Linked DNA regions of Arabidopsis thaliana. The protein of the gene in region 3 interacts with the protein of the main gene of each other region in a pairwise test. Each region holds a gene or a part of one and is shown on either strand. Other genes may lie near its edges.

What was found.
Region 1: the proteins of NAC001 (region 3) and AT4G14730 interact in a two-hybrid assay, tested with the Arabidopsis thaliana proteins (one large-scale study listed by BioGRID).
Region 2: the proteins of NAC001 (region 3) and AT3G14740 interact in a two-hybrid assay, tested with the Arabidopsis thaliana proteins (one large-scale study listed by BioGRID).
Region 4: the proteins of NAC001 (region 3) and UMAMIT33 interact in a two-hybrid assay, tested with the Arabidopsis thaliana proteins (one large-scale study listed by BioGRID).

Annotation. Positions count from the first base shown.
Region 1 is NC_003075.7:8,446,270-8,451,809, forward strand, and holds AT4G14730 (Bax inhibitor-1 family protein), read left to right. Parts: upstream 1-2,096; 5' UTR 2,097-2,337; coding exon 2,338-2,575; intron 2,576-2,855; coding exon 2,856-2,969; intron 2,970-3,298; coding exon 3,299-3,456; intron 3,457-3,534; coding exon 3,535-3,732; 3' UTR 3,733-3,905; downstream 3,906-5,540. Other genes in the region: AT4G14740 (auxin canalization protein (DUF828)), read right to left, coding at 4,298-4,506, 4,936-4,993, 5,347-5,396, 5,480-5,540.
Region 2 is NC_003074.8:4,950,652-4,955,771, reverse strand, and holds AT3G14740 (RING/FYVE/PHD zinc finger superfamily protein), read left to right. Parts: upstream 1-2,348; 5' UTR 2,349-2,465; coding exon 2,466-3,443; intron 3,444-3,533; coding exon 3,534-3,587; 3' UTR 3,588-3,711; downstream 3,712-5,120. Other genes in the region: AT3G14750 (structural maintenance of chromosomes domain protein), read left to right, coding at 399-1,018, 1,103-1,266, 1,424-1,509, 1,882-2,007; AT3G14730 (Pentatricopeptide repeat (PPR) superfamily protein), read left to right, coding at 4,426-5,120.
Region 3 is NC_003070.9:905-6,848, forward strand, and holds NAC001 (NAC domain containing protein 1), read left to right. Parts: upstream 1-2,726; 5' UTR 2,727-2,855; coding exon 2,856-3,009; intron 3,010-3,091; coding exon 3,092-3,372; intron 3,373-3,581; coding exon 3,582-3,701; intron 3,702-3,801; coding exon 3,802-4,191; intron 4,192-4,269; coding exon 4,270-4,422; intron 4,423-4,534; coding exon 4,535-4,726; 3' UTR 4,727-4,995; downstream 4,996-5,944.
Region 4 is NC_003075.7:13,937,625-13,943,631, forward strand, and holds UMAMIT33 (nodulin MtN21 /EamA-like transporter family protein), read left to right. Parts: upstream 1-2,721; 5' UTR 2,722-2,978; exon of another isoform or gene 2,979-3,225; 5' UTR 3,226-3,256; coding exon 3,257-3,435; intron 3,436-3,515; coding exon 3,516-3,701; intron 3,702-3,783; coding exon 3,784-4,302; intron 4,303-4,381; coding exon 4,382-4,577; 3' UTR 4,578-4,812; downstream 4,813-6,007. Other genes in the region: AT4G28030 (Acyl-CoA N-acyltransferases (NAT) superfamily protein), read right to left, coding at 124-302, 377-497, 587-682, 846-1,001, 1,235-1,507; TET7 (tetraspanin7), read right to left, coding at 4,942-5,226, 5,491-5,997.

The DNA.
Region 1 (5,540 bases), on a different chromosome or scaffold from region 3:
GATACAATTAGCTACACTTGTTTTTGTTGATCTTGTACAACGAATTTAACTGTTCTGTTGATTCATCGCTTGAATGCTTATATATTTAATGGTGTTTGTGGTGTTGTGGCCACTCTTTGCTTTTGAGAAGTTCCAAAGGATCAGTTTGAACATTAATTGTTAATTAAGAACAATAAAAGTGGGTTGTTGTAGTATTAATGTTCTTGTCATGACAGTGGAGGCACTAGAAGAAACGATTGAGGAAACTAACTAAAGAGGATGCACGAGAAGATGAGACAGACATCCGATTAGTCTCCAAGCTATAAGGACGTACATCTTCCTACACTTGGAAAACTCCAATTAATTCTCCTCTACCCCGCTTTTATTATTTTGTCAATTTCTTCATCCAATCAAATGTATAAAGCTCATAGTTCCTTTGTAAGTAACTATTCTCACATTGTTTGAATATATACGTTGGAGTCTCCCATGGTTTCTAATGAACTTCAATTGGCACCAATATTATAGATTCGGTCATCCCGTTCTATTGTTGTTTGAGACGGTTGGTTGGTTGGTTAAACTTACACATAGTCGCTCAGTTCACAAAGCGTAATTGTTATGTTACGCTCTATTTCTATGAGATAAATTAGCCATATGAATTTTAAAGCTTAAGAGTAAAATGATGTATATATGATTCTACATTTACTCATGTTAGAATTCTAAACAAGATTTCTCAGTTTAAATAGTAAAAACTTGATATGGCTCAAACACTTGAAGTGACAGACACGTTGCAAATTTGGGACTACGTTGTGAATAAAACTTCTGACTGGAAACGGTGTCTTTGATTCGTCTTAATTGCGACCACAATGATATAATCTACTAGTAGTCTTATAATATTAAGGAATATGAGACGGTTTATCGACTACATTTTTTGTCATAATTTTGTGATGGTTTTGTCATTACTTTGTGTGTAGTCATTTATTAGTTGCAAAATAATCATAAAACCATTACAAATATTTGCGACAAAAAAAATTCATAAAATATAATCCCAAAATGCATGTTTTCTTGTAGTAAACATGTTCCTTAGAGTGGAATTTCTTCATATATTTAAATATCTTAGTTGGCTTGGAATACCCTCCAGGCCTCCATCTTGGGTCATGGTAACCCATATAGATAATTTTTATTTTTCAAAACCTAAATAGTAGTTTAATAAATTCATAGCCTTAGCTATATCTTAGTATGTTGATGTAATTTTTATTTTCAGGTCCACAACTGATTATTTGTTTATCTGTTTTCTCAAATAAGTCCACTTCCTATATTAATCTTAGTTAATCTTTATACAATGTATCTTCTTTAAATATGCTATCATGAAAATGACACAGTTTTTGGTCTTTTATCAGTCAGATTCCAAAACATTTTACACCATTTCGATATCCTACAAACTCTTCTCTCTTGACTTTTGGGTTAAGTACTTGTCTTGATCCACATGTACAAGTTATTTATAAAACCAAACCTTTTGAGATTAAACAAAGCCTTAGTTTAGTAATTAATAACCAAAACCCATAAGATTGGTTAACGTTTTTGATAAATGATTCTAACGCGTTATCTAAAGAACAAACTCTATCAGATTATGAACTGTTTCACTGTAGGTCTCTCGTTTAAAGTAAATTTTCGATTATACAGTGAGCTTTCTAAAACTCTTAAAATCATACATTAATAACACTTAATCAACTCACTAGATCGTCATTTGATATACATTTTATCCTCTCTTTTTTTTGGTTTTAGAAAAGGAAAATTAAAGAAATAATTGTCATAGATATCATAATTACTGTATATCCGCTATTTTAAATATATAGCATTTCAATTTACAAATTTATTTCTATAAATAGTACAAGAATAGTAATAGTCTCCTTTCCATTTGCATATATTTTGAGTTACGACAAATAAATAAGACAAAAATTACGTACCCGTTAACACCACAGTTATAAAGCAGCCCCAGATAGAACACGTGTCTTAAGATCATTGGTACGTCTCGAGATCCAATATGACGGTGCAGTGACTGTAAATTAACCCGTAACTCACCTCTTGATTCAACAAAAATGAAAAACCGATACTTTCCCGGCAATGTTTGGTTACACAGTCAGTGTCACACTCACACACCCGCGGAAAAACGCCGTCCACTGAATTCCACGTGTCGAAACATAATTGGGTAGTTAGAGTAACCACAGTGACGGAACAGTAACACCAGCATTACCCTTTAGTTTCCCCGTCACTTTCTTTCTTCCGTAGTTTCCTCAGACAATCAAAAACCTCTTCTTCTTCTTCAGAGCTTTGTTTTTTTTTGCGATTTCAACAACAAAAATGGCGAAATCTGACATTGAAACTGGTGGTGGTAACGAGCTGTATCCGGGAATGAAAGAGAGCTCGGAGCTTCGTTGGGCTTTCATAAGAAAACTTTACAGCATTTTGTCTCTTCAGTTGCTTGTCACCGTCGGAGTCTCCGCCGTTGTTTACTTCGTCCGTCCGATCCCCGAGTTCATCACCGAGACTCACCGTGGCCTTGCCGTCTTTTTCGTCATCCTCCTCCTTCCTCTCCTCCGTTACGTCTCCTTTCACATACTTTTGTTTATCCATTCATTTCTAGGTTCCATCATCGTCGCTTAGGGTTTTGAGTTGCTTTATTTGTGCGGTTCACTAAAAAAGCTTGCGACTTGATCGATATAGTGTTCACTTTAGCTACTCTAGCTTCGTTGATGTTGTGAAACTATAATGTTCCGTTGATTCATCGTTTAAATTCTACTGTGTTGTTAACGATTTGATATATCCACTTAGTTTGTAGAGTGTTTCACTGAGTGATCTGGATTTGATGTGTGTTGTAGTGTTGTGGCCTCTGTTGGCTTTTGAGAAGAAGCATCCGATAAACTGCATTGTCCTGTCCATCTTCACTCTCTCCATTTCCTTCTCTGTGGGGATTTGCTGCTCTCTCTCCCAAGGTATGGATACAGAGATATATCACACTTGGTTGGCTTGTGGTGTTGTTAAAAGACAAACCATTTGTCATATTTTGCCTTGGATTGTTCTCTGCTTGAAATAATCAACCAACACTAGTGTTGGTGTGATATTGATTAGATAGTACTGTTTTCTTAACCATAAAAGTTGAAATTTAGTATCTTGTTGGCTTTAACATGGTGAATCATGAAAAAGAGGAACATGGCATGAGATGCTTTCATGCTTTTTTGTCAAGCAACTTATTAACTCTGTTTCCTATAACTAGAGTTACACCATTTGGTTAGAATCTAATTTCCAAGTATTGTGAAAACAGGGAGGATTGTTCTGGAGGCTGCAATTCTCACAGCTGTGATGGTCTTTGGTCTAACGATCTACACCTTCTGGGCAGTGAAGAGAGGACATGATTTCTCCTTCCTTGGACCATTCCTCTTTGGTGCTCTCCTCATTATCCTTGTCTTCACCCTTTTGCAGGTACTAACTCAGTAACTCTCAATCTATTCAAAGTTTTGGGATATATTATCACAAAGCTAAACAATGAAATGAATGCAGATATTCCACCCTCTGGGGAAGCTATCATCGATGATATTCAGCGGAATAGCTTCAATAGTGTTCTGCGGATACATCATCTTCGACACCAATCAGCTGATCAAGAAACTCAACTACGACGAATATATCACTGCAGCGATTCGTCTATACCTCGACGTTATGAATCTCTTCCTCAGTCTCCTCGGCATTATAAGCAACTGAACGTTATGAATCTCAATCTCCTATAGTATTCTACTTATTCCAGACATAGATTTATCGAATATTAAGAACACATGTTTATGGCTTGATTAAGTTGTTAACAATACCAAAGGTCCAAAACATTCTACATAAGCAAACAATCCTTAATGATTTATTTGTCTCCTTGTGAGTTTAGAAATATAGGCAGCTTCTTTGGTCAATCAATGGATAGATATTACAACAATAATGGGACAAAAAAGAAGCATATTTGATGTTGTTCCCAATAAAATATTGAAATTGGACCCATCAATTTTAAAATTAAAACATACTATATATCTATTACTTCAACTTTGTTTTTTTATACAAAAAGACCACCAACAACCAAAAAAAAACTAAGAACATAGATATTACAGATCACCCCCACTAAGTTTTGTTTACCCAAATGCTTCCTCACCTTGACTGGTAGGTCCATTTTATCCTATACCCAACCCAAAAAACCATTACCTTAAAAGAACCCCTACTAATGAAATTTGACCACATAAGTTAAAAAAAAACTCACACTTAAACCAAGCAGCCATTGAACGTTTATTCACATCCTAAACTTCCTCTCAGCAGCAAGAACAAGAAGCCTTGAGACACCTTGTGTCCACATTTCATATTCCCTTTGGCTCTTGACCTCGAATTCAACATCACCTCGCATAACCGTCTTCAAACCGAAGTATCTTAGATCATCTCCTCCCTCTAGCAAATGTCGTCCAGGCCAGGCCGGGACATTCTTGATCACATCAAGCACAATGTCTGTAACAAAATTGGAAAGATAGTAAAATAATTAATAGAAGAGTCTTCTTCAAGTTCACATTCAAAAGCAAGACAAAAAGTAAAAGATTGAAGGGATTTGATCCTATAGTTACTTTAGTCACATATACACTTTTGCTTTTTCAATTTTTTTTCCTTTTCTCGTCTCAAATCCCCATATCTAAAGCAGACCCACCTCAAAGTTTTGAATTCTCTTTACCAGGTTCACATATAATTGACTCATTGACAGTAGATAGTGACAAAAAGTAAAGCTTTCAATATCAAACTAAAGAAACATTCTTTGTTTTTAAACCCATTAGAAGAATCATCTGAAATGTCTTGGAAGGAATTAGAGAAATCTCCAACCAAACTATTCAGGGTTTAAAGTGGTGTTATACTTATAGTATGTAAAAAGAGTAAATAATCACTTACTCTTTTTCTTCTTGGTGAAGGTTCCTCCAACATGCCTGCTCTTCATCTTCAACATAACCTATAAGTTCAATAAATCAAAACAAATTAGTGATTCTGTAAGAGATGCTTAAGCAGCAAAGACAAAAGTGGATCCCATGATTTCAGTATCATCATCATTATCAAAACAGTGCTTTTTATTTTTAAGCTTTAGTATTGTTTCTACTTTCTCTTCTTTTCCTGCCGTTTGAAATTTCTCTTTTCTCATCTTTTTGTGTGTTTCATATAACAAAGTTAACATCCATGTGAAGTAACTAAAGATTCCCACTGATTCACAAATAATTTGGCTCTCTTTAATCTTTTTCATCAGATCAACAACGATCATTTCCTAAAGTGAAACGAAACTCGAGGCACAATAAGAAAAAGAATCTTTACCTGATTCATTTTGTTGATGTAAACAGATACTATCTTCCAGTGGAGATCACCTGCAAAAGTCACACATCATTAGACAAAAGATTCAACAACTAAAATTTAAACTTTTAAATACACAAGTTTGAATTTTTCTTACCTTTGCGAGTGCGTTTGAGGAGTTCACAACCTCTAGCGAGCCATTCTCTACTACAAGTTCC
Region 2 (5,120 bases), on a different chromosome or scaffold from region 3:
AAACTCAGGTAGTATCATGGAGATATAATGTGTAAATACAAATTACTAAAAGGAGTAATTTAAAATATTACTATTAGTAAACGAAACCTCCGCTTTATCTACTTTTCCGGCGAATTGGAAGGGTTTTGATCTCCTTGAGCAAATCGGAGATTCTTTCTACAGTTGTGCGAACGTTCTTATAATAAGTTTTTAGTTGATCGATCTCCGATTTAGTGAACTAGGCGTCATCTTAAGAACCCTAATTTGTTTTCTCCGGTTGTGAAAACTTCTGTTGTTCGTCGTCGAAGGTCAGTTCGTGATTCTGAGTTTGTACACCTTTTCGTTTCCTCTGTTGGCACTCGAATTTTCCAGGAAGTGAAACTAGAATTTGATTCTGCGTAGTATTGAACATTAAGATAATGTCTGGAAGAAATCGTGGACCTCCTCCTCCATCAATGAAAGGTGGATCTTACAGTGGTTTACAAGCTCCGGTTCATCAACCGCCTTTCGTTAGAGGCTTAGGAGGAGGACCAGTGCCTCCTCCTCCTCATCCTTCTATGATTGATGATAGTAGAGAACCTCAATTTAGAGTAGATGCAAGAGGTCTTCCTCCACAATTTTCGATTCTGGAGGATCGTCTCGCTGCTCAGAATCAAGATGTTCAGGGCTTACTCGCTGATAACCAGAGACTGGCTGCGACTCATGTTGCGCTTAAACAGGAGTTAGAAGTTGCTCAGCATGAATTGCAAAGAATAATGCATTACATTGATTCCTTGAGAGCTGAGGAAGAGATTATGATGAGGGAGATGTATGATAAATCTATGCGATCCGAAATGGAATTGCGTGAAGTCGATGCTATGCGAGCTGAGATTCAAAAGATCCGTGCGGATATCAAAGAGTTTACTTCAGGTAGACAGGAACTAACGAGTCAGGTTCACCTGATGACTCAAGATTTAGCTAGACTTACAGCAGATTTGCAGCAGATACCAACGTTAACTGCAGAAATTGAGAACACAAAGCAAGAGCTGCAACGCGCAAGGTTTTGACCAGTCTCTTTTTTAAGATTTGCCTTTGTTCATATTGATGATAATGTGTATGTTAAGCTGTGATTTCTGTTTTGTAGAGCGGCTATTGATTATGAGAAGAAAGGGTACGCGGAAAACTACGAGCATGGCAAAATTATGGAGCATAAATTAGTTGCAATGGCTCGGGAACTGGAGAAGCTTCGAGCAGAGATTGCTAACTCAGAAACGAGTGCTTATGCTAATGGTCCTGTTGGGAATCCTGGTATGATAAACTTGAATAAGTGTAAACCTTTATAAGCAGTCACCACAATGCCTATTAAATGCACAAGTAGAAAGGAAAACTAATAACTAGCAATAGACAGTCGATCAACAGTTGAATGCATATAGCAATGTTAATCAAAAAACATGGTTTTGATCAGGTGGAGTTGCTTATGGTGGTGGATATGGAAATCCTGAGGCTGGGTATCCTGTGAATCCTTATCAACCCAACTATACCATGAATCCAGTAAGTTATAAAATTTTGACTTTTTATATTTTTTTACATTGCGTGTGCATAGTAGATGATATGTCTGAACGCACCATAATTCTCTCTACACAGTTTCACACTTTGTTTGAACTTTGAATTTAAACCGAATTTCAGTAGCCAATAGTACAGCCTAAAGTTCGAACAAGTCAATCTGATGTAAAACGGAACTGGCTTAATCGATTTATTAGACCAATCTAAGTCAACAATGTGAGCTGATGTCGATGAAACCTGTGACAGAATATGTAACTGAACAACATCTATCTTCATATATCTCCTATTCTTGTAGTTTTAGGTGCATACATTCATACACATGTAAAGTAATGTGCTGATATGATAACAATGCTGGTTCAGGCACAAACAGGCGTTGTTGGCTATTATCCTCCTCCTTACGGACCACAGGCTGCGTGGGCTGGTGGCTACGATCCGCAACAGCAACAGCAGCAGCAGCCGCCACCACAAGGACAAGGACATCGATGAAAAAGTCAAGATTCAAAGTCAAAGTCGCCCATTTTTCAAGCGACTCTCATGAAATTAAAGCAGCCTCCCTTTTGTATACTCTGATAGTCTCTGATAGATTGTGAACAAAGCCAACATATTAAAGTGTTGTTAAGTAAGAAACTTGGAAACCACAGTTTTTTTAATTTAAATAAGCCCATTAACATCTTCAATGGACCGAATAAAGGCCCATAAGAGACCACCTCCCTCGCTCTTTTTAACAATTGGCGGGTAAAATTCTAAAATTTTAGTTTCAGTTGATGAACCAAAAACAGAAGAAGAAGAAAATTAACGAAATTTTAAAATCGGAACAAATTTCAGAAATTTGGCGCACAAAGAAGTCAATTGGCGGGTAAATATCAATTTCTCATGCCTTTAATTTCTCCGAGATCTACGACTGTTCCATTCACACAAACCCAGAGATCTGAAACTAAGAAGCCATGGATGCTCAATATCAAGATCTACCTCCTCTCAAAAGATTAAGACTGTTGCAGAGAGATCTCGAAGCTGCTCAACAGCACCAGCTACCGAACCAACCGGAGATGAAGTCGTTGCAGTTGCCGGCAAAGAAGAGGAAGCAGACTCGTGTTGATTATGACGATGACGACGCAGAGAACTCCAATCCCACCTATCATTGTCTTCCGGCGAAGAAAAGGATCTGGGCGATTGATCCCGATCTTCTCTCCGGTGGTGGTAACCCCTTTTCGCCTTTTGATCTAAATGTAGAGTATAAGCCTTATGTTGAAGAGAAATCAATTGAGAAAAAGTCAACTCTAAATGTTGAATCTAGTCTAGAGGTAGAAGAAGATGATGATAAAGAGAATATAGATCCTCTAGGGAAAGGAAAAGCTTTAGATCTCTCTGATAGAGAAGTAGAAGATGAAGATGGGATTATGTGTGCTGTATGTCAAAGTACAGATGGTGATCCATTGAATCCAATTGTGTTCTGTGATGGTTGTGATTTGATGGTTCATGCTTCTTGCTATGGGAATCCTCTTGTTAAGGCTATTCCAGAAGGTGATTGGTTTTGTAGACAGTGTTTATCGTCGAAGAACCGAGAAAAGATCTTCTCTTGCTGCTTGTGTACAACTAAAGGCGGGGCGATGAAACCTACGAATGATGGTAGATGGGCTCATATTACTTGTGCGTTGTTTGTTCCGGAAGTTTACTTTGAGGATCCTGAAGGAAGAGAAGGGATTTGTTGTAGTGAGGTATTGAGTAAGAGATGGAAAGATAGGTGTTATTTGTGTAAGGTTAGACGCGGTTGTGTTATTGAGTGTTCGGAGATGAGATGTAAGTTGGCTTTTCATGTTACTTGTGGGTTAAAGGAAGATCTTTGTATTGAGTATCGTGAAGGGAAGAAGAGTGGTGGTATTGTTGTTGGTTTCTGTAATGAGCATACCAAACTTTGGGAAAGGGTAAGATTTGTATCCAACTTTCTTCTGATCTGTGTAGTTGTGGATGTTTTGTATAGGGCTCAATTTTTGATGGTAACTTTTTTTTGTCAGCAACAGGAAAGTGGAAAGTACAAGATTGTTGCCAGAGAAGAAGATAAAAAGTAGGAGAAAGCTCAAGGGCCATGACCTGAAGACCATGCTTTTTTTGCTTGCAACTCTGAAGCTTCCACTCATGTATTTGATTGTTTTAAAACGTTTGTTCTTCTTATTTATCTGATTAGTGAGAGTAGCTGATCCTAAATGCTATCAAGTTTATTATATTTTTGTGAAAGAAATGTTGTGTTTCAATCTTTGGTCTATCTAATTTCACCCTTCATAAGAAAATGATGTAGCCGTCTCGAAACAAACTCTCGATACATTTCTTACCCGAAATCTGGTTAACAAAACGCATTGGTGTCGCCGTCTCGAAACAAACTCTCTGACAATCAGAACTGAAACAACGGACCAATCACTTTGTCTTAGCTATCTAAATAAGCTCATTGCAGGTCCAACTTTTTTCGCGCAGATTTGCATCCAAAACTTCACTTATGATTCACGAAACGGAAAAAAAAACCCAGAAATCTACAGATGAAGAAAAAATCTGAAAATTTTTGCCAAAAAAAATTTGGACCATTTCTCGATTTATGCGTGTCATCCTTGCGCAGGGGCCATGCTAATCTTCTCTGTATCGTTCCAATTTTATCGGATGTCCCCGAAGGGACAATCACTACTTCGTCTCTAACCATATATAAACTCAGCTGCTTTCTTTACCTAAGCGCTGTGGTACTTTTGAAGATTGTTAATAGCTTAAATGGGCCTATTTTAGAAAAAGGCCTATCCCTCGCTTCCTTCTCAAGCCCATTTATATTATTGAATTTTTTCCCAACTAAAGATTTTATTTTCTTATGCAAGTCTCACTCACACTCACGTAAATTTCAAATATAATCGTGGTGGAACTAAAACAATGACCGTCTCGTTTCTACGGATCGAGATTCAAAATTGTTCTGCCGGAATTTTGAGATTTCTCCCACGGAACCCAGATTTATTCGCAGCTATAAAGCCTTCTTCTGCTTTAGCATCTTTATATTCGACTGTTTCTGGGCAAATCGAAGAAAACCCGAAGAGATACGAGCACCACAATGTTGCTACATGTATCGCCACATTGCAACGCTGTGCACAGCGCAAAGATTACGTTTCCGGCCAACAGATCCACGGTTTCATGGTTAGAAAAGGGTTTCTGGATGATTCGCCACGCGCCGGCACGAGCCTCGTTAACATGTACGCTAAGTGTGGTCTCATGCGGCGTGCGGTGTTGGTCTTTGGTGGATCCGAACGCGATGTATTTGGTTACAACGCTTTGATTTCTGGGTTTGTGGTAAATGGGTCTCCTTTGGATGCGATGGAGACGTACAGAGAAATGAGAGCTAATGGGATTTTACCTGATAAGTATACATTTCCTAGTTTGCTAAAAGGAAGCGATGCTATGGAGCTTTCTGATGTTAAGAAGGTTCATGGATTGGCGTTTAAACTTGGGTTTGATTCCGATTGTTATGTGGGGAGTGGCTTAGTTACTTCTTACTCGAAGTTCATGTCAGTGGAGGATGCTCAGAAGGTGTTCGATGAATTGCCTGATAGAGATGACAGTGTGCTTTGGAATGC
Region 3 (5,944 bases):
GACACACGTTTACACATAAAATCTGTAAATCAACTCATATACCCGTTATTCCCACAATCATATGCTTTCTAAAAGCAAAAGTATATGTCAACAATTGGTTATAAATTATTAGAAGTTTTCCACTTATGACTTAAGAACTTGTGAAGCAGAAAGTGGCAACACCCCCCACCTCCCCCCCCCCCCCCCACCCCCCAAATTGAGAAGTCAATTTTATATAATTTAATCAAATAAATAAGTTTATGGTTAAGAGTTTTTTACTCTCTTTATTTTTCTTTTTCTTTTTGAGACATACTGAAAAAAGTTGTAATTATTAATGATAGTTCTGTGATTCCTCCATGAATCACATCTGCTTGATTTTTCTTTCATAAATTTATAAGTAATACATTCTTATAAAATGGTCAGAGAAACACCAAAGATCCCGAGATTTCTTCTCACTTACTTTTTTTCTATCTATCTAGATTATATAAATGAGATGTTGAATTAGAGGAACCTTTGATTCAATGATCATAGAAAAATTAGGTAAAGAGTCAGTGTCGTTATGTTATGGAAGATGTGAATGAAGTTTGACTTCTCATTGTATATGAGTAAAATCTTTTCTTACAAGGGAAGTCCCCAATTGGTCAACATGTGAAAGCACGTGTCATGTTCTTACTTTTGTTTGGGTAATCTTCTAATTACTGTATATGGAAGATGTGAATGAAGTTTTGGTCCTGAATGTGGCCAAGGTTCCGTCATTTGGAGATACGAAATCAAATCTCCTTTAAGATTTTGTTTTTATAATGTGTTCTTCCATCCACATCTATCTCCATATGATATGGACCATATCATACATCATCATTTGTCCAAATGCATGAATGAATTTGGAAATAGGTACGAGAATGCCAACAATGACAAGAAGGGATCAAAGACAGTTTTTAAAACAATATTTTACAGGGTTTTAATCTAATTCTAAGTTTTGGTCACTCACTTTGTTAAAAGAATAATTCAGTGTCTGGACACTAAAATCTTCCAAAAACCCCATATACATATATGCTATTTCGATACTTATATTTATTTACTCAGCATAAAAAATATTAACCATGTATTCATAGTAAAATGTTTCATGTGATATCAAACCAGCGACAACAAAAGTATTATTCCCCTCATTATGTTTGACTCCTATTATATTTTTATTTTAATTTTTTTCACTATCATCTTTCTTGCAATGAAAGTCCCATATATTGGTCAACATTTCAAACCACTTGTTCTCTTTTATGTTTTGGTAAGAGCTATCTTCTAAATTTATAATACGCATAAATTCAAAAGTAAAAGAAAATTTTGGTCATGAATGTTGTTTAAGTCATTTGGAGATACGAAATCAAATCTCCTTGTAGATTTTGTTTTTAGAATGTCGTTCCTTTTTCATCATCTTAGCTATATCTACAGCTATATATCCTATCTTTAAACCTATATTATTTTTTCCTCTCTTCACCAAAGCCATGTTTTTTAGTTGTGGCGAAAAATAAGAAATCCATACATCAACATATCGCTTTCGTTACCTTAAATTTTGGCTTGTTATGAAGGCATGTCATAACGTTTCTAGTCACAACTCACAAGCATACCAACGACCATGATAAATCCAAAAAGTAGAAACAATCTATTATCTAAACCCCCAAAAGACAAAAGAAAAAAGTAGAAAGAAAAGGTAGGCAGAGATATAATGCTGGTTTTATTTGTTTGTTAAAAGATATTGCTATTTCTGCCAATATTAAAACTTCACTTAGGAAGACTTGAACCTACCACACGTTAGTGACTAATGAGAGCCACTAGATAATTGCATGCATCCCACACTAGTACTAATTTTCTAGGGATATTAGAGTTTTCTAATCACCTACTTCCTACTATGTGTATGTTATCTACTGGCGTGGATGCTTTTAAAGATGTTACGTTATTATTTTGTTCGGTTTGGAAAACGGCTCAATCGTTATGAGTTCGTAAGACACATACATTGTTCCATGATAAAATGCAACCCCACGAACCATTTGCGACAAGCAAAACAACATGGTCAAAATTAAAAGCTAACAATTAGCCAGCGATTCAAAAAGTCAACCTTCTAGATGGATTTAACAACATATCGATAGGATTCAAGATTAAAAATAAGCACACTCTTATTAATGTTAAAAAACGAATGAGATGAAAATATTTGGCGTGTTCACACACATAATCTAGAAGACAGATTCGAGTTGCTCTCCTTTGTTTTGCTTTGGGAGGGACCCATTATTACCGCCCAGCAGCTTCCCAGCCTTCCTTTATAAGGCTTAATTTATATTTATTTAAATTTTATATGTTCTTCTATTATAATACTAAAAGGGGAATACAAATTTCTACAGAGGATGATATTCAATCCACGGTTCACCCAAACCGATTTTATAAAATTTATTATTAAATCTTTTTTAATTGTTAAATTGGTTTAAATCTGAACTCTGTTTACTTACATTGATTAAAATTCTAAACCATCATAAGTAAAAAATAATATGATTAAGACTAATAAATCTTAATAGTTAATACTACTCGGTTTACTACATGAAATTTCATACCATCAATTGTTTTAATAATCTTTAAAATTGTTAGGACCGGTAAAACCATACCAATTAAACCGGAGATCCATATTAATTTAATTAAGAAAATAAAAATAAAAGGAATAAATTGTCTTATTTAAACGCTGACTTCACTGTCTTCCTCCCTCCAAATTATTAGATATACCAAACCAGAGAAAACAAATACATAATCGGAGAAATACAGATTACAGAGAGCGAGAGAGATCGACGGCGAAGCTCTTTACCCGGAAACCATTGAAATCGGACGGTTTAGTGAAAATGGAGGATCAAGTTGGGTTTGGGTTCCGTCCGAACGACGAGGAGCTCGTTGGTCACTATCTCCGTAACAAAATCGAAGGAAACACTAGCCGCGACGTTGAAGTAGCCATCAGCGAGGTCAACATCTGTAGCTACGATCCTTGGAACTTGCGCTGTAAGTTCCGAATTTTCTGAATTTCATTTGCAAGTAATCGATTTAGGTTTTTGATTTTAGGGTTTTTTTTTGTTTTGAACAGTCCAGTCAAAGTACAAATCGAGAGATGCTATGTGGTACTTCTTCTCTCGTAGAGAAAACAACAAAGGGAATCGACAGAGCAGGACAACGGTTTCTGGTAAATGGAAGCTTACCGGAGAATCTGTTGAGGTCAAGGACCAGTGGGGATTTTGTAGTGAGGGCTTTCGTGGTAAGATTGGTCATAAAAGGGTTTTGGTGTTCCTCGATGGAAGATACCCTGACAAAACCAAATCTGATTGGGTTATCCACGAGTTCCACTACGACCTCTTACCAGAACATCAGGTTTTCTTCTATTCATATATATATATATATATATATGTGGATATATATATATGTGGTTTCTGCTGATTCATAGTTAGAATTTGAGTTATGCAAATTAGAAACTATGTAATGTAACTCTATTTAGGTTCAGCAGCTATTTTAGGCTTAGCTTACTCTCACCAATGTTTTATACTGATGAACTTATGTGCTTACCTCCGGAAATTTTACAGAGGACATATGTCATCTGCAGACTTGAGTACAAGGGTGATGATGCGGACATTCTATCTGCTTATGCAATAGATCCCACTCCCGCTTTTGTCCCCAATATGACTAGTAGTGCAGGTTCTGTGGTGAGTCTTTCTCCATATACACTTAGCTTTGAGTAGGCAGATCAAAAAAGAGCTTGTGTCTACTGATTTGATGTTTTCCTAAACTGTTGATTCGTTTCAGGTCAACCAATCACGTCAACGAAATTCAGGATCTTACAACACTTACTCTGAGTATGATTCAGCAAATCATGGCCAGCAGTTTAATGAAAACTCTAACATTATGCAGCAGCAACCACTTCAAGGATCATTCAACCCTCTCCTTGAGTATGATTTTGCAAATCACGGCGGTCAGTGGCTGAGTGACTATATCGACCTGCAACAGCAAGTTCCTTACTTGGCACCTTATGAAAATGAGTCGGAGATGATTTGGAAGCATGTGATTGAAGAAAATTTTGAGTTTTTGGTAGATGAAAGGACATCTATGCAACAGCATTACAGTGATCACCGGCCCAAAAAACCTGTGTCTGGGGTTTTGCCTGATGATAGCAGTGATACTGAAACTGGATCAATGGTAAGCTTTTTTTACTCATATATAATCACAACCTATATCGCTTCTATATCTCACACGCTGAATTTTGGCTTTTAACAGATTTTCGAAGACACTTCGAGCTCCACTGATAGTGTTGGTAGTTCAGATGAACCGGGCCATACTCGTATAGATGATATTCCATCATTGAACATTATTGAGCCTTTGCACAATTATAAGGCACAAGAGCAACCAAAGCAGCAGAGCAAAGAAAAGGTTTAACACTCTCACTGAGAAACATGACTTTGATACGAAATCTGAATCAACATTTCATCAAAAAGATTTAGTCAAATGACCTCTAAATTATGAGCTATGGGTCTGCTTTCAGGTGATAAGTTCGCAGAAAAGCGAATGCGAGTGGAAAATGGCTGAAGACTCGATCAAGATACCTCCATCCACCAACACGGTGAAGCAGAGCTGGATTGTTTTGGAGAATGCACAGTGGAACTATCTCAAGAACATGATCATTGGTGTCTTGTTGTTCATCTCCGTCATTAGTTGGATCATTCTTGTTGGTTAAGAGGTCAAATCGGATTCTTGCTCAAAATTTGTATTTCTTAGAATGTGTGTTTTTTTTTGTTTTTTTTTCTTTGCTCTGTTTTCTCGCTCCGGAAAAGTTTGAAGTTATATTTTATTAGTATGTAAAGAAGAGAAAAAGGGGGAAAGAAGAGAGAAGAAAAATGCAGAAAATCATATATATGAATTGGAAAAAAGTATATGTAATAATAATTAGTGCATCGTTTTGTGGTGTAGTTTATATAAATAAAGTGATATATAGTCTTGTATAAGAAAGGGATTTTACATGAGACCCAAATATGAGTAAAGGGTGTTGGCTCAAAGATTCATTTAGCAACCAAAGTTGCATTTGCAAGGAAATGAAAAGGTGTTAACAATGTCACTGCGTAACATGACTTCGATACAAAATCTCAAACAATACATCTTCAACTGTGGATTATGATGGACTTGGGGTTGCAGGTGATATGTCTATAGAAAAACGGGTGGGAATGGAAAATGGCTGAAGAAGAAAGCTCCAACTAAGCATCATAACTGGATTGTTTTAGAGGAGATGAGTCAAAGGAATTCACAGTGGAACTATCTCAAGAACATGATCATTGGCTTCTTATTGTTCATCTCCATCATTGGCTGGATCATTCTGGTTCAAGAGGTCAAATTATATATACATAACGGATCTAAGAAGTATAGTGTAGTCAATTAAAACAAAACGAGACTTGAAAATAAGCATAAGTATTATTAAGTTAACCCAATATTCGTTTCAATGCTTTAGTTATCATCAGAATTCTCAACATTTTCAGATATTTAACTTGCCTTTGGTTGCTTTCTCGCCATGGTAGTAGCATTCTCCGGATAAGAATCAAGGGGAGCCTCAACTTCGGCTTCAACCGTCTCCTCGTCTTTCCTATGACATTCACTTGGTGTTGCAACAATGTGTTGATGCCCCACATTCATAGGAGAGTCCCACATATCTCCAACATTCATAGGAGGGTTCCACATATGCCCACCATTCCAAGGAGGGTACCACCACATATGCCCAGCATTCCAAGAAAGATGGAGCGACGATATCGTGAGGAACAAGGTTTTTGTAGGGCAAATAATTGTAGGTGGTTGAGTTATATCCGCCCGCACAGAGTAACAGACCAACAATTAACTTTTGATATTTTAGTAAGGTCTAATTCAATTTTTGGTGGCGATAATATTTGGCTTAGTCATAAAATACAGT
Region 4 (6,007 bases), on a different chromosome or scaffold from region 3:
CATCACATATTTGTAATTAGTAATTTACCTTTAAGCTAATGAATTAATTTTGTGGAGAGTTATAAAGCTTTTATTGATTGCCAAGAACAGGTTGACATATTGGATATATTGGAAAATTTACAATTACATGGACATGATTGGGGAGGTAGGAAGGGCGAGCCAGAGGAGGAGCCGTTGTGGCCTATTGAGGTATCGAGCTTGCCACGCTGGCTCAGCGGTCTCTTGCTCAAACCCACTTTTCATGTATAGACTCTTCGCTGCTTCATTGTCTACCGTCACATGCACGTACATATCCGTTATGCCTGAACCATATTCACAACTCTTTTTAAAAACTTCAATTGCACAAGTCTAAGGAGTTTGATTTAAATGTTCTTACCCCATTCTCCAGCAACTCTCTTAGACTTGTCAATAAGTTTGTAACCAACTCCATTACGATGCAGCTCTTTTGCAACACAGACGTTGCTCAAGTATGCTCTAGCAAAATCCACACCAATCCCCTATAACACAAAATACTCTTAGGCTACTCAATTTGTCCAATTTCAGATTTTAAGTTCAGCATTGTTGGCAACATCAAATAGACAAATACCTCTGGTTTTGTTCCAGCAATTTCATCAGGAAGCCAACGACATTGGTTAAGATCAAGGCTTCCCACCACAACTCTGTCTTCTATGCCATCAGAGAACTGAGAAACAGATGAACCATAGCACAAATCCATATCACAGTTTTTTCTAGACCAGGAAGTAACAATGACATGATGACAATTCCAAATGTAGAGCACCATAACTTAAATGCAACAAACCCTCTTGAACAGGTAAATACAGGATGACCAAATTGAGTACACAGACCTTACATGCAGAGCATAAATCCTCAAAAGAGCTTGATAATTGCGACAATGGAAGGGTAGCATTTATGCAAGCGACCCGCGTAAACCCTTCCCTCTTCCCTGAAGTTCTCTCCTTAAGCGCCTCGAATTCACGCTCTGCCAAGTATCTTCTATGATCCTAATGAAACTTGAACAGCAAACTGTAACATCAGCATAAGAAACAAACCATAAACCAAACAAAACACTCACTAACTAATCACACAACAACAACGAAGTTCTTCAAAACTATAAACACAGCTCCAACATCAATTATCATTTCATCTACCAATTCATAGTCAACGGAGTTGACTTCATGATACAACAAATAGCTAAAAATCATCTTCTAATTCACCGATTAAGTAAGAAACTGACTTGGATATTGTAAGCAGAAGGATTGAGTTCGTTGAAGGTTCGTACGCGGAGACAAGCTGCAGCCCAAAGCTCATCTTCTGACACCGATTCGGATATGACGAAAGTCGACTTGTCGATCGCTGGAGCACAAATGTGTGAGGAAGCAGCGACGGGACGGAACCGTAACTTCAATGAAGGAATCGAAAGATACGAGCGTGATGATCCATCTGTGTTTGGGTCGCCGAAAATGGCGATAGAGGATGAACTTGGGAGAGACGAACAGAGAAACGCCATTTTTTCGCGGACTAATCACATCCTCAGCTTCTTGCTAAGCTTCAAAGCTCGCATGTTTGGGCTTTTCTATTATTTGGGCCCAATATGAGCCCATAGTTTTCTGTTTGTTTACGCTTCTTTCAATTTTTATCCGAGAGAAATGGCAGCCACACAAATACCAACTAAATGTCATAACTCATAAACAAAAGATACGTAACAAACTTTTAACGTTTTATTTCCCACCAAAAGAAAATCAACATGTGTCATCATCACTCATCATCTTTTCTTTCAACGACAAAAAATAACATTGTTCTTATCGCAACAATACATGTTTTATCATCATCATTTGAATGTACGTAATCAATGTATCTCGATTCTTTTTGGTTGATATAGAAAAGAATTTGGAGTTGTATTTTGTTACCTAATAAAAATCAATTAAAATTAATAATAGTAATCTACACCCTCGTTAAGAGAAGCAAGTAGAGCTAGTTCATGCATGATGATGTCTTAGTAAAAGAAATAAGATTATCTCATATAAAGTAATAGTTAGAAAGTGTGGAAGGATTAGAATGAGGATGATGATGATGTGTGTCATGAGTCATTGATCTTTGTCATTATCCTATGATTCATATCTCTTCTTTCTCGTGCATCCAATTCTTATTGGTCAACAAATACCAATAGAAATCATTTCAGCAATAATGGACAGAAACCTACTTACGATTGGTGGGAGGGATACACAAGAAGACAACTAGAGTGACTAACTATAACATGTTCACGCATATGATCTTTTATCTATTTTCATAATTCTGATGTCTGTGACCACCTTGCAATACACCTGTACTTAAATGTAGAATATACGTTATAATATTCGTAATACAACGCATCACATAGGACCTAAATGGCGATTTTTATGGTTGCATAGTTTCTTGAAAAATGTTTTATTTTGTTGATACGTATTCAATCGTGATTGTCAAGAGAATGAAATATCATACAGTGAAATCAAAAGGAATTAACTAAACAATAATTGGTAGTCAAATCTTAAAATGCTATACGTATAATTTTCTTCTTTAATTTTTCTTTTTTTCTTTTTTATTTTGTAAGAGATTTCTTTGAACAATAATTAATTCAATCTTTCCTTACGTATTAAACAATGAATAGAAAAAAATCACAAGACATTATTGAATAAATGTCGGATTATCTACTATATATGTGTGCGCATGTGATATAGTACTGTAATAGTGGGCTACAGGCCAACTTCGGCTTTCCAAGAACATGGTTGCATCGAGCATATCTTTGCTAGATTTTAAATATAACTACAACTTCTTGCTTACTTTGTGATGCGGAAACTCAAAACCGTAATCACTCATGTTATATTTTTTGTTGTTGCTTTCAACGCTAATATCTGAAACCAGTTTTCGCTGGTCTAAGATCCATTTGCAAGAAATGTCAACAAAATAAAAAGCTCTTATCATTCCCACGAGTTTTAGTTAAGGTAATCTATTATTCCAAGACTTCCACGAACCACCTATATATAGAAGCTTACATATTCTATAGACTTAATAAATGTATAGTTCAATATTATGTCACTAACGTACGCGGCTAACAGGTTTGTTAATCCTTCCTATCACATGATTGACATACACACACACACACACGCACGACACATTATTTGTATTCAGTATTCACATATACGATATATAATTACAAGAGACGTGTATATTGAGAGATTCATTTTTTAGTGATTGTAGATCTTAAGAGAGAGAGAGAGAGATGGAGATATCGAAATACAAGGCGGTGCTAGCGTTAGTGATGTTGCAGTTTACGTCCGCCGGAGTTGCACTCTTCACGAAAGCTGCTTTCATGGAAGGTCTCAATCCCACCGTCTTCGTTGTTTACCGTCAAGCCATCGCCACTCTCTTCATCTGCCCCATCTCTTTCATTTCCGCTTGGTAAGTTCAGTGTTTTTGAACCAATCTATATATTATTTATCACATGAATTCTGACTCATTTCCATGTGAATGGTAATTAGGAGGAAAGAAAACAAACCTTCTCTGGGAGTAAGAGGCTTTTGGTGGGTGGCTTTGACGGCTGTTATTGGTGTGACTGTTAATCAGAACGCTTATTTCAAAGGGATTGACTTGTCTTCTTCATCCATGGCTTGTGCCATGACTAATCTTATTCCTGCCGTCACCTTCATTATCTCCATCATTGTTGGGTATGTATCATCAACATATATGTTCTAAGATTCTATATTGATGGATTGGTTATTTATTATTGATATTGGATGTTTGTTTCAGGTTCGAGAGTATAAAGAGGAGAAGTATGAAAAGTGTTGCAAAAGTAATAGGAACTGGTGTCTGTGTGGGAGGAGCCATGGCAATGACTTTTCTCAGAGGTCCAAAATTGCTCAATGCCTTGCTCAACCAAGACAACACAGCTTGGTTACTCGGCTGCTTCTTCCTTCTTATTAGCACATTTGCTTGGTCTCTTTGGTTGATCCTTCAGGTTCCTATTGCCTCTCACTGTCCTGACCACTTGTACACTTCTGCCTGCACATGTTTCATCGCTACCATAGCTTCTTTCCTCGTGGCTCTCGCCTTAGGCAACACTCATTTACCGCCCTGGAAGCTTGATTCCTTCTTGAAGCTCTCTTGCTGCATATACTCTGGATTCCAGTTGGCGATATCTTTCTTTCTACAAGCTTGGATCGTATCACAGAAAGGACCTGTTTTCTCTGCCCTCTTCAACCCTCTTTCTGCAGTCATCGTCACTTTCTTCGGCGCTCTGTATCTAAAAGAACAGACTTACCTCGGGAGGTATGCCATTTTCTTACTATCCTCTCTTCGTTCTGTAGCTCAATTCACATTTTTAAATCTGTTTTGCTCGTTTCTGCAGCTTGTTAGGCGCTTTGGCTATCATCCTTGGTCTCTACATTGTTCTCTGGGGCAAATCTGAAGACTATCAAGAAGAATCAACAGACCTGAAATTGGAAAATGAACACAACACTTCCTCTCAATCTGACATTGTTTCCATTATGATTGGTGATAAGGCCTTTCGTAGTTCGGAGCTATTAGAACCTCTTCTCATGTGAGTTTTATTGAAGTCAGTTCTACATGGTGTAAGTGGAAATTTTTGACAATGGACACTTAAAGAATATGAAAATGATAATAACGCAAAGTGAAATGGAACTTCTTTTACAAATCTCACTCGTCTCAACAGATGTATAAGCTACTCAACACACAAAAGAGTCGAAATAGAAGCACAAGCAAGTGCTTTTGTAACTCATTATGTTGCAAATTTAAGAGAGAAAATACATTGAAATTGCAATCCCCCACACACAAGACAAGCGATCAACGAGTTGTCTTAAATGCTGCTTTAACTTACTTGACAGTAAGATGATGACACTTCAGATATCTTCTCTGGCCTTAGTCTTGGTTTCAACGCATTAGAATCTATTACCAACTGCGTTTCCTGTTGTTCCTGAACGCACAACAACCAACAGAGTAGACGATAATGAGGAATATGAGGAAGACAATGTTGACCTTAGCCACCTTTTTCCATGAGTTCTTGATGTTGTCAAGCAGACCAGCCTTGCAGGCTTCACAGTCGTAGCAGAGAGTTCCTGGTTTGTTGTCCCACACATTACAGTCCTCGTTTTTGTATGGACCAGGAGTCTTTGTCCAAGTAGTCGGGTTCACATAGGTGAAGTTACAGTCATTGGACGGCTTACAACAACCAGACTACACAAGTAAAGCAAACAAAAAGTAGTTAGTAAAAAACATCACTATTATTTCTAAAGACTAAATCTTTCTAAAAGGCTTTGTGTGTTTGTTTCCATGGGAGAAAAAGTAAGCTTTTTGTTCATAAAACAAAATCACTTTTTGAGGAAAAAGCAAAGTTGAATCCATGAATCTCATCAAAAAGCTAGATTCACTTTTAAAATCCCGATCTCTAATTCTAAATCACAGATGAAATTTTTTTTAAATCAGATCAAAATTGTGAACCTGAAGAGCATTAAGATTAGATTTGTAGAAATCTTCAACGTTAATGCTGGCATAACGAGTACGATAAGTGGAGCAAACGTCAGAGTACATCAAACAACTCCTGATCCGTTCCCAATTCTTAGCATTGTTGACACGTTTCTGCAACCAATTAGAGTAATCGGCGACATGATACTCTTTATACCCTCGATCCGATATAACCTCACCGGCGCCGCGGTTTGTGACTGCGAAAGCGAAGATTGTGAAACAGAAGCCGAGGAGAATGAGGAGGAACATAGCGAAGAGGTAAAGCCAGAGGAGGCAAGAGACACGGCAACAAGCACCGACGAGTCCGGCGATTGAGACGAACATGAGGAAGATTCCGAGTACGACCATTGGTTTGTCGAGGAAACGTTCGCATTCGGTTGCTGCATTTTTGCCGAGCCAGATCCCGGCGGAGAGAATTGGGATTGAGAGGAGGAATGTGAAGAAATTGAGGATTCCGAGGAGATTGTTGCTACACTGAACCATCGCTTTTTGT